2 linked regions of the Caenorhabditis elegans genome follow. The protein of the gene in region 2 purifies or fractionates together with the protein of the main gene of each other region. This does not show direct contact. Each region holds a gene or a part of one and is shown on either strand. Other genes may lie near its edges. The genes, in order: spt-5 and ugt-1.

Evidence for each region.
Region 1: the proteins of ugt-1 (region 2) and spt-5 fractionate together in Caenorhabditis elegans (co-fractionation; one large-scale study listed by BioGRID). This does not show direct contact.

What each region holds. Positions count from the first base shown.
Region 1 is NC_003282.8:12,049,594-12,056,251, forward strand, and holds spt-5 (Transcription elongation factor SPT5), read left to right. Parts: upstream 1-1,897; 5' UTR 1,898-1,903; coding exon 1,904-1,951; intron 1,952-2,080; coding exon 2,081-2,164; intron 2,165-2,213; coding exon 2,214-2,723; intron 2,724-2,772; coding exon 2,773-3,355; intron 3,356-3,401; coding exon 3,402-5,054; intron 5,055-5,105; coding exon 5,106-5,498; intron 5,499-5,553; coding exon 5,554-5,759; intron 5,760-5,807; coding exon 5,808-5,957; 3' UTR 5,958-6,153; downstream 6,154-6,658. Other genes in the region: T12G3.4 (Strictosidine synthase conserved region domain-containing protein), read left to right, coding at 1-266; Beta-1,3-galactosyltransferase bre-5, read right to left, coding at 339-647, 701-898, 943-1,131, 1,182-1,328, 1,381-1,477, 1,575-1,603; K08E4.2 (Glycolipid transfer protein domain-containing protein), read right to left, coding at 6,261-6,576, 6,625-6,658.
Region 2 is NC_003283.11:10,393,680-10,398,446, reverse strand, and holds ugt-1 (glucuronosyltransferase), read right to left. Parts: upstream 2,785-4,767; 5' UTR 2,733-2,784; coding exon 2,589-2,732; intron 2,521-2,588; coding exon 2,452-2,520; intron 2,409-2,451; coding exon 2,292-2,408; intron 2,246-2,291; coding exon 2,203-2,245; intron 2,159-2,202; coding exon 1,961-2,158; intron 1,866-1,960; coding exon 1,484-1,865; intron 1,439-1,483; coding exon 1,299-1,438; intron 1,256-1,298; coding exon 937-1,255; intron 891-936; coding exon 713-890; 3' UTR 627-712; downstream 1-626. Other genes in the region: col-151 (Nematode cuticle collagen N-terminal domain-containing protein), read left to right, coding at 3,224-3,364, 3,412-3,571, 4,184-4,692, 4,749-4,767.

The sequences.
Region 1 (6,658 bases), on a different chromosome or scaffold from region 2:
AAGACCGATTCCTTGAACAAAATCCATCAGTTCGAGAATTTATCACTAAAATTCTATCTCCACAAGCTCTTGGATATGTTGCTAATTATGTCGCTGATGTAGAAGGTCTTGTTATCAAAGTCAACACGGAAACTGGTCAAATCATCGAGTCGTATCATGATCAAACAGGACGAGTTGAAGCCGTCTCAATTGCGATTGACGATGGAAAAGGAAGAATGCTTCTGGGAAGTGATGTTAACTATTATATTGCTCGAGCTAAACTTTGAATATTTAATTTTTATTTCTTACGATCTCTATTGATATGTTGAAAATTATATGAAAAAAATTCAAAATACAATTTATTCGAACCCGTTTAACTGGCTATACTCGTATTCAAGATCTTTCCTGGCATATCCATGAACTGCAATTACACCATCATCCCATTCTTTTTGAGACACTCGTCGACACCAGAAGATGAAGTTCTCATTATGAGTTGCTGCGACATTCACTGTTTTGGCGAGAATACCCGTAAAGACATCATCGAATGGAAACATTTTCAGTTTTCTAATTGAATTTCTGAATCGCGCAATGGTTTCGGAAGTGAGGAAGACAGCGCCAGCGGAGACGTATGGAGGATATCGTGAAAATGGATACTCATTCAGCGAAATCTGTAACTTGTAATAATTTGGAAATAGGTTTTTTTTTTACTTGAAGCACTTACGCTGTGTTTGTGGATCTTAAGCCTGAATGGTGACGTGTCAAATACGAAGCCTTCGTAAACAAGTTCCTCTTTTTGTTTAGTTTTTGCGAATTTTACAAGATTTGGGATATGTACCAAATAATCGTCATCTACCAGAAAGGTAAAGTCTGGAGAAGAGCATTGATTTGGATTCGCAGCGTAGTCAATGGCGCCAAACAACTGAAATTAGGTTTTTATTGAGAAAAGTGTTCAAGAAAACAAACTTTTAAGGTATTGTTCCGATATGAATCTATGTCTGATATTGCAAGAATATCCTTATACTTCTCCGATTCTACATCAATTCTTCTCATTATCTCCATATTTTCCACTCTTCCCACAATGAAGATTGGCATAACTTCGACTCCATCAATCATTCGAAACACTCCCCACGTCTTTCTTACTGACTCTCGCATCTGAATATTGTTTTTTTTAAATAGAAATTTGATTTTCTGCAAATACTAACCGGTCCATTTTTCGCACTTGACTTGATTATAATAATAATAATCTTTTGTCCATTGCCAGAAAATTTGCACTGTGGATATTTTGTAAACTTGCTTCGCAATTGTAAATTACGCGTTTCCAGTGGCCAACTGAAGTCACCAAAACTCGTCTGAAAAATATAATCATTATGTTTAAATAATTTTTTCTGGCGTATAAAGTACCTCTCTAAACTTATCCACAACTCCAAGTACCCATAGAAGAAAAATCGTAATCGTGAAAATTAAAAGCTTTTGAAACGAAGAAAGTTCATGATATTTTCTGAAATGAAATTAAATATTTATGCGAAATTGAAGAGCAAAGCAATACTTCTTAAAGCTTTGAGATTTTTCAAGCGTATCCACAGAGAATTTCCTACCTTTTCAAAATCCGCACGCATAAAAACATTAAAATGTTAAATAAATATATATTTAATGCGCGGCAAGTTGTGGGTTTTGGACGTGAACACCAGATTGCGTACCGGGCATCGGAACCGACGACAATTTATTTCTTCTTCATTTTCTTCTTCTTTTTTGCGCTTAATTTCTTCTAATCATTTATACCTATAAAGTTAATCATTTTTTCAATTGATTGATTTACTTCTTGCCTAATTTTCTGAATTTTTAAGCGTTGTCCTAAATCACACGCGTTCCTCCTCATTTCTCTGCCCCAAGTTATTTGAAATTTACTTAAATGTTTCAGTTAGCAATGTCCTCTGACGAAAGTGATGCAGCCTCAAACAAAGAAGAAGACACGGTTAGTTATCGATTTTTCACTCTATGATTTGAGATTCGATCGATTTCGCCGAAAATAACAAATAAGCTTTCATGGAAAATTCACAAATTATGCGACTTTACTTATTTATCGATTTTTATCCTCTTACAGACTTTGAGCGATGATGATGGCTCAGATGTTGAAATCAAAAATTCAAAGAAGGACAGAAAGCGGAAACTTGCTTCAGAGAGTGAGGTGAGTGAAAACAATTAATTTTAAAGTTACAATCCTGTCGGTTTTTCAGAAAAGTGGCTCGGACGATGATGATGACGACGATGACGATGAAGATGAAAACGTGACCAGCAAGAAATCTAAAAAGCAGAAACGGAAGAATAAGGCTCCTTCTGGACGAGATTTTCTTGCTTGGGATGTTGAAGTCGACGACGAAGACGAAGACGACGACAATGATTACGATGACGAAGACGATCCAAGCATGAATGCAATGAACGAGCGAGAGGAAGCTGAGCGTGCGATGAAAGAAATGGAATTGAGTCAACGGAATAGAGATCGGTACAAGTTCCAAAACATGACGGAAGACGAAGTCCAGAAATACTTTGAGAACAAGTACAAGGGTGACAAAAACGACAGTCAATATGATGACGAAGATTCAGCTATGGATGATATTTCAAAAAATTCTCATCTTCCATCCACGAAGGATCCTAACCTGTGGATTGTCAAATGTCGCATGGGAGAGGAAAAACTCGTAGCGATGCATCTGATGCGTAAATGTCTTGCGGTTGAGCACACAAACGAGGTAATTGATAAATGTCCCGTAATAATGATTGCATTTAATCAATTTATAGCCATTCCAAATCAAATCAGTTGTCGTCAAGGAAGGACTCAAAGGAATGATCTATATCGAGGCGTTCAAACAATCTCACGTCATGTCTGCAATTGAAGGATTTTCAGCTCTCAATCAATTCACTATAACCATGGTTCCCATCAAAGATATGGTAGATGTATTGAGAGTTGTCAAAGACATTCCACAGTTGAAACTCGGATCATATGTTCGTTTGAAAAGAACAATGTACAAAGATGATCTGGCTGTCGTTGATCTTGTGGATATCGCTCAGAACCGTGTCAACCTGAAATTGATTCCCCGTGTCGATTATCAGAAGCGGCGCGGAGCAATGAGAACTGATGCTGATAAAAACTATAAGCTGAAAAGACGCCCAATGCCCAAGTTATTTGATCAGGATACCATCAAAGAAGTTGGAGGAGAAATTGTGACGGACGGAGACTTCTTAGTATTTGAAGGAAATCATTTCCGGCGAGGATTCCTCTACAAGTACTTCCCCATAAACGCAATTCAAGCTGATGGTGTTAAACCAACTCTTGGAGAACTCGAAAAGTTCCAAGAATCTAGCGATGATCTCAAGAGAGAATGTAAGTTTTTATTCCTTTATTCTTTTTTAAAAATACTTTTTTTCAGTGGAAACGGCTTCTCTCAAAGACACAGAAAATCCATTTGTTCCTGGAGATATCGTCGAAGTGAAAGCTGGAGAGTTGGTGAATCTTCGGGGTAAAGTGATGACGGTCGATGGGACGAAGGTTGTGATGATGCCAGATCAAGAAGATTTGAAAGAAGCAATCACTTTGAACGCTCATGAGCTCAGGAAATACTTCAAGGAAGGAGATCATGCAAAGGTTATTAGTGGACGATACGAAGGACATACTGGATTAATTGTCCGAGTAAAAGATAGCACAGCCATAGTTTTGTCTGATCTTGGAATGGAAGAATTGAAAGTTCGTGTACGAGATTTGCAACTTTGTGCTGATGTGACAACTGGAGTGGACTCACTGGGACAGTTCCAATATCATGATCTTGTACAGCTCGACCATACAGGAAATGTTGGAGTAATTGTTCGATTGGAGAAGGAACATTTGGAAGTTCTCAACATGCACGGAGTTGTGAATCGTATAAAGCCACAAGCTATTATAGCGAAAAAAGACGTTCGATTTGCGAAAGTTCTCGACAGTCAAAACAATTCCATCGAGGCTAAAGATCTGGTAAAAGTAATTGGAGGACCAAACGCAAAGGAGCGGGAAACCGATGAGGATCCAGTTGGAGAAGTTCTCTATGCGTTCCGTGGAACTGTCTTCGTTTATTCTCGCAAAGTGACTAAAAATGGAGGAGTCTTGGTTTGCAAACCAAAACAACTGATTTTACAAGGAGCTAAGAAAACAACCAGTACACCGATGGTTTCTCGAATGGCTTCACCGAATCCTATGGCATCACCAAGACATTCTTCTGGAGGAATGACTCCTCGTTCTCCACAAGATGGTATGTCAAGTCGTGGAAGCAGTGGTGGACAAACTCCGAGACAAGGTGGAGGAGGAGGACGTGGTGGTCATTTTGGAACTGCAAATCAACAAAAAGTTCGTCGTGATCTTACCCTCATTGGAAAAAATGTTCGAATCATCAAAGGTCCGATGAAGGGCCACTTTGGAATTGTTCGAGATGCCACAGAAGACACAGTTCGTGTCGAATTGCATACACAATGCAGAACGATTTCTGTCGATCGTGCTCGTGTGATGGTTGTCGGAGACACTGGAATAACAGCTGGAAGTGGAGGTGGAAGCTCGTTCTACAGTTCTTCGAAGACACCGATGCGCGACTCTGGCAAAACTCCAATGTATGGATCGAAGACTCCGATGTATGGAGCACAAACACCGATGTATGGCTCGATGACTCCAGCTTATGATGGAGGAAGAACACCGGCGTATGGAGAAGGTGGACGTACCCCTGCATATGGAAGCAAAACTCCAGCATATGGAGATCTTGATGAACATTCATCATCACGTACTCCAGCCTATGGAAATGACAGTTCAAGAACTCCTGCTTACGGTAGTGCTGATGGTGCACGAACTCCTGCCTATGGAAGTACGGAAGGTGGACGGACTCCAGCATACGGATCAATGGACAACAGTAGAACTCCTGCATATGATGATTCTGGAAGAACGCCTGGCTATGAAAGTATGCCATCGAGAACTCCGAACTATGATTCAAGCAGTAAGACTCCAGCCTATCCAGAATCCGAACATTCCGCCAGAACTCCAGCATACAATAATGATTATGATATTCGTGAGTTGAACCATTACATATCTTTGCAATTTTTAATTTTTAATTGTTTAGCGTTGAGTCCGGCATACGAGCCCGATGCACCTGAAGCGTATGACAATGCTCCAGCAAGAACTCCAGCATTCGTGTCCCGTACTCCAGGATACGACACATATGAGAACAGCAGCCCGACATACGAACCAGATGCAGCTACAAAAGTTGAGGAAGACATCGGAGACACTTCGTCTCCAACTTATGATTCTCCTCCACACTCGTACGTTGTGCCAACTCCAGGTGCAATGCTCAATCCAGCAACTCCGGGAGCCTATCACGTTGATACACCTGGATTCGCTGCTCCAATGACGCCAGGAAGTGGAGGAGCATACGATCAATATGTTGCGCCTTCTCCATTCGCTGGCTACGACAGTAACAACTACAACAATGCCGATGGAGCTATTGAGCAAATTCGTAAGTTGCTCAAGATTTTATTTGAATTATAGTGAAGCTAATTTCTTATTTTTAGCGGACCACTTCCTGGCTCAAGGTGTGTGGATTGTGCAGAATCTGTGTGTGCAAATCAAGGACCACGAAGGGCGATTCAACGGACGTGAGGCGATCATTAAAGATGTTACCGATGGAAAAGTGGATGTCTACATGCCAGATCACAAGTGCAACTTGGAAGTTGATTTCGATCAGCTAACTCCAATGAAACCGCAACCAGGAGATGATGTAAGAAAATATTAAATTGAAAATGCTAAATGAAATGTTAACTTTAAGGCTCGAGTGATTTTCGGACAAGATGCAGGTCACAGTGGACAACTTGTTTCCATGGATGGATTCGAAGCAGTTATCCGATCACAGGAAGACATGTCAGACATGCGAGTCATCAACATTGGATTGTGCTGCAAAATGCATAGCGAAACTTGAAAAGTTGTTCACTTTACTATTTATTCTCCAATTTTTCTTCGCTTTTTTCTGTTCAAATGTTATTCGACACTCGACGAGTTTCACTTCGTTGTGTCTATTTTTTGGTGTCACCCTTTGAAAATCGTTCATTTATTTATTTATTATACACTGTTTTATTTGAATTAAACATTTCTTAAAATGATTGCTGCTTTTCTTTTTCAAAAACAAATACACTTGTTGTACAACCAAGAGATATAATGAAAAGTTTAATTTCAGAGAACATATTTTTTGTGAGATCAAGAATGAAGAGGGTAGTAAAGAGATTCAGGCTGAAGGATTATAATCAGTTAGTTCGAAATTTTCAACTAGTTTGTTCACTCTTCGCACAATATCTCGTCCGTCTCGATTGAAAATATCATGGAATTGATTATCATCGTCCTCTGGCATATCACCACGAAGTCTACATAGAAATTCTGGTTTTCGAGGCAAAGTGTAGAGAGCCGCAGCGACAGCAGTTCTGATTGGCCAAGAATGAAGTTGAGAAAGATGTTTGTCATAAGAAGAACGAGCGATTGTCGATACATTTTCATCATTCGACGTGAACACTCCATCCAGCAAATCGATGACGAATTCAAGAGCTCTGAAATGATGAACTCATTGATTTTCTCTTCTACGAATCCACGAATACCTGTTAAGAACCATCAAATGTCCAGTGCCGCTTC
Region 2 (4,767 bases):
GATATTGTTATTTATAGGGAATCATTAAGGTTTGAATGTTGGAAAACATCGATGTGATGAAACAATTTTTAGAAATTTCGGTCATCACTTTTTCTTAGTATTCGGACTTGGAAAACTATGGAGTTTAGAAAAGTCTGATGGCATTGTACAATAATTTTTTTTTGTTTTTTGATTTACTGTTAAACTGTTTTTTGATTTACTGTTAAACCGTTTTCTGATTTACTGTTAAATTATCCATTGAAATTGCACCCATTTGTTCAACTCTGAAAGCTTATATTTTAGTTTTCGTTTCTTCTATTAAAAATTAGGCAATTAGCAAAATATTTGTCAGTTCTATTTTTTAAAAATTTGCCGTTGATAATTATTTATTTTATATCATCCGAATGAACCGAGATATAAATTTTCAAAGTGGAGTAGTTGGCTTATATACTAATTGAGAATGTACGGTACGTTTTTTCTTACAACTTGTGAGGTGATAAAATACGAGAAGAATGTTGAAAATGCTTTGCCAGTAGACACAAATACAGGGATCTCAAAAGCAGGGAAAAAGATATCGTCTAGATTCCGCCATTTATTTTTTGCTTTATGGATTTGCACCTTTTAGGTGTACATTTTTTATGTTGATAAAAGCAGATTAGACAGTTTATTAAGGCTCAAATATGAATTAAATCAACAAGAGATACAAATTGATAGCAAATAAAACTTTTTAAAACTACTCTTTCTTTGATTTTGTCTTGAAAACGTGTTTGTAAACAAATTTGAAAAGTAAATGTGCTAAATAAAAGATAATGATTAAAATTGAAAAAATAATGGCAAAAGCATCTAACATGTAGTACTGAACAAAGTTGTAGTGAACATTGTATGGTTCCAAAGCATCAACTCTTCCAAATCTGAAACTTTATAAAATCTTTGCTATCCTAATTTTGTTTATCTTACTTTGCACTGAACTCCACGTGTTTCAGAAGATTTGCTTTTGGATCAATTGGTTGATTTCTTAGAAGATCAGCAATATGATGTGATTTTTTGTTGAATTCTTCATTTCCGATAATCTCTTTAATTGCAGATGTCAATTTTTCGGCATCTTCCAAATCATATTTATCAAAAACAGTAGCACCACCATGTCTACTCAACATTTTTGCATTCAATAATTGATCTCCGAACACTGGAATCATTAGGGCAGGCTTTCCAGAGTATGCAACTTCTAAAGTACTGCCGAGACCACCATGAGTTACGAAGAGTTTCAGTCGAGGATCAGCTGAAAATTGAAATAAGTACAAAAGAAAAGTGAGATAAAATACCAAGCAGAGCTGGCTGAGGAACCCATTTCTTCAGAATCGCATTATTCGGGAGCCTTTCAATGAATTGTTGATCTTCTACTTCATACTTCCAGATGAAAGTGGTATCTGGTAGAAGATGGAACATTTTGATAATCCCATCTCTGAAATTGAAATAGTTGTTTTAATTCCAAATTTAAAATAATCACTTAAAACTTTCTGGCATATCCGCTGATTGAATTACGGTTCCAAATGAAATAAGGACTGTTGATTTTCGAAGACTCAGAATTTTGTTATATTCCTCTTCTAATTTCAGATTTTTTGGTGGATCAATTGTGAATCCTCCAATGTGTACATGTTTTGGAAGTGATGGTGTTGGAAATGCAATAAAATCATTGGCATTCGAAAAATAAAACGTGGCAGTCTGAAGAATTTCCTTCCAGTGTCGAACATCCCCATTCAAAAGTTGAGATGCTTGTTTGTATTGTTTTTCGAAAAGCTTCGAGAATGCGAGTTCGAGACATGGAAGAGCAATGATGTCACCGATTCGATCAAAAACAGTTTGCTCCGTTCCGAACTTTGTCCTCATGGCTTGAAATTATAAATATTTTTTATAGAAAATCATAAGATCAGTTGATAAGAATCGTCTGTCACCTTTAATTTGCTCAAAAATAAACAAAACTCACATGGTAAAAAATTAAGCAATGATGGTTCCCCAATTGCGTAAACAGATGGAAGACTTTTAGTTGAAGAATGCATTGGAATTATGTTAAGCTTCAAGTGATCTCCAAGATAAAGACCACAAAAATCGAATGGCTCGGAAATAAATCCATCAAAGTTTTTCGAGAGAATCCATTTGTGTAGTTTTTTGTCAAGAAGAACCTCTGTAATAAAACATTATTATCTAGATTTTCTGGTTTAAATCTACTTTCACACATTGTCTTCATTTCGCCATATAGAACTGTTGAAGTCTGAAATAAAACTATGGTATTTCGGAATAAGTATCCATAAACCAACTGCTATAGCTCCAGTAATTGGATTATTAATTATTTCGGTATTCCACATGTATTTGAAGGCACTTGCAGAGTTTTCATTGCTGACCGCTTTGCTTTCGTCGAGATGATAGTCTAGGATCTAGAAAAGTTTTTTTTCAATAAATTAATACTTTACTCCATACCTCGACATTTGTATTCTTTGCCATACGGATTTTACCAAAATGTTCGTAATTGTATGTTTGAAGAATTGTCTGAATAAGAAATAACAAAAAGGTTGAAGAAGCAAGCAAATAACTCGATCAAAATTTTTAAAACTTACCACATTATGATCTCCGTTGGCCAAAGTATCCGCTACTTTATTCATAAATTTCATGTGACTGTATCCAAAAACTGGAGAAACTACGAGAAAGTTATGAGAATAACAAAAAGTTAAGCTTGTAAGAAGTAGAAATAAGATTTTCATTTTAGAAACTTCTAGTTTTTACAGAAATAACTGACATTCAACTCCTTACCTAACATTTCTTTATATAGCGATCCACCATTAGTTTTTTGGTCGGCAAGAGACACAGAGAGATAAGATAGTGAAATATTAAGTACGGTATGTAGAGAAACAGAGAATACGAGAAAGAAAGTTTTGCAGATTACTGTTTTTGTGTTCACTAAAAAATTAGAGTTTGTGCCAGTGCGTTACTTATCAATGTCGGGAAGCTAGTTTTGGTACAAAAATACAATTTAGTAATTTTAGAGTTTGGAGCTTTTGTTGTATTTTGATTTTATTGAAAATTTAGGGTAAGAGGGATAAATTCGTCAAAGTCATTGTTATTTCATTTTTCATATTTCTATTTTCACTTCACACTATGTAGCTGTTTCCTGTTTTTTTCTCTCTAAAATAATTAATATCTATTGTGTTGAAAAGTATAAAATATAGACACCTGTCTGAAACTGAAAACAAAAATGAAGCACACAAATTTTCTATTCGCTACTATTCTGCTCATTGTTTTTGCAGTTCTTACGATTCTCGCTTCAATTTTTTCGGTTTTTAATGAAATTGAAAACTTTGAAATTACTTCCCTTGAAGATCTGAAAACATTTGAAGTTGGTCCATAATTAATTTTTCAAGTTTTTAATTCAATGTTTTGTAGAAATATTCCGATGATGCGTGGAATTTGATAACTGAATCAATTAGAGAAAAACGGGCAGTCTATAGAATCAAATTACCACCACGTCATGGATATGGGCAGCCAAGATATGTTACCATTCCACCAACCAATTCTTATGCTGTTCCAGAAGTTGGAGGTAGCAGTAAGTTTTAAATTTATAATTATCTTATCAGTTAGGATTGAATTAATATATCACATAGAAGCCGGATTACCTCAAAACATTTTTGAAAACATTGCTGATTTTATGTACATTTAGCAAAAGTTATTTACTTTCCTGAGTAAAACATAAGCCAAATAAAATACAATACATAAATGGTCCGAGAACCGACCAAATTTTTTTTCGGTGGAAATTTGCAAAACTAGGAGACATTTCTTTGAAGTTTTTAGACCTTCATCATATGTATTATCCATACGTCGTTTAGAGAATGAAACGAGAAACAGAGAAAGTGGATATTCAACGATAATAAATTTATCTGATCAAAACTCTCCTTTTATAATAATAATAATAATTTATTACGCTCGCTGGGAGACGTGAAGGAATACAGAATACAAAAGTTATCATTGTTCACTTGAACTAGAATTGGTGCAGTCGGGCAATCGTTTCCATTCCATTAGAATGTTGTCCTTGTCCTTGCGTTGTCCTTGCGTAGACTCCCCCATAGTGGGCGAGCGATTCCCGAGTGAAAATAATCACGGAATTATACAGAAAATTTTTACGGGACACGATCTTTTGCATTTAAATGAGCGTTTTCAGTGCCATTGATCTGTCCGGAAGGACCCCCGGGACGTCCTGGTCATCCTGGCCACCCTGGTGAAGACGGCTCAGCTGGACAACCTGGAAGCCCCGGAGGAGTCGGCGTATTGCTATCAATGAAGCTACCATATAATGGGTGTATTCAATGTCCAATGGGACCACAAGGACAACCTGGAAGGCCAGGATTAATGGGACATCCTGGAGATGTGGGTGTTACTGGAATGGATGGAATTCCTGGAGGGAGAGGTCTTCCAGGATATCCAGGAATGCCAGGAGACAATGGATCGGGCGGAGCTAATGGGCATGATGGAGCAACTGGGCAACCAGGCAGATCAGGAACCAGATCATATGGATCACCAGGACCTGCCGGATCCCCTGGAAGAGTCGGGAGAGGGGGACCGCCTGGTCCAGATGGCGGTTATCCCATGTCTGGGGAGCCTGGGTCTTCTGGGCCGCAAGGAAAAGCAGGTCAACCGGGTGGACCTGGAGTCGATGGGCATCCTGGAAGGGTGAGTCAAAATATTTTTCAAAAAAATATTATTAAACTATAATTGATATTTTTCAGCCTGGTGGCAGTGGTCGTC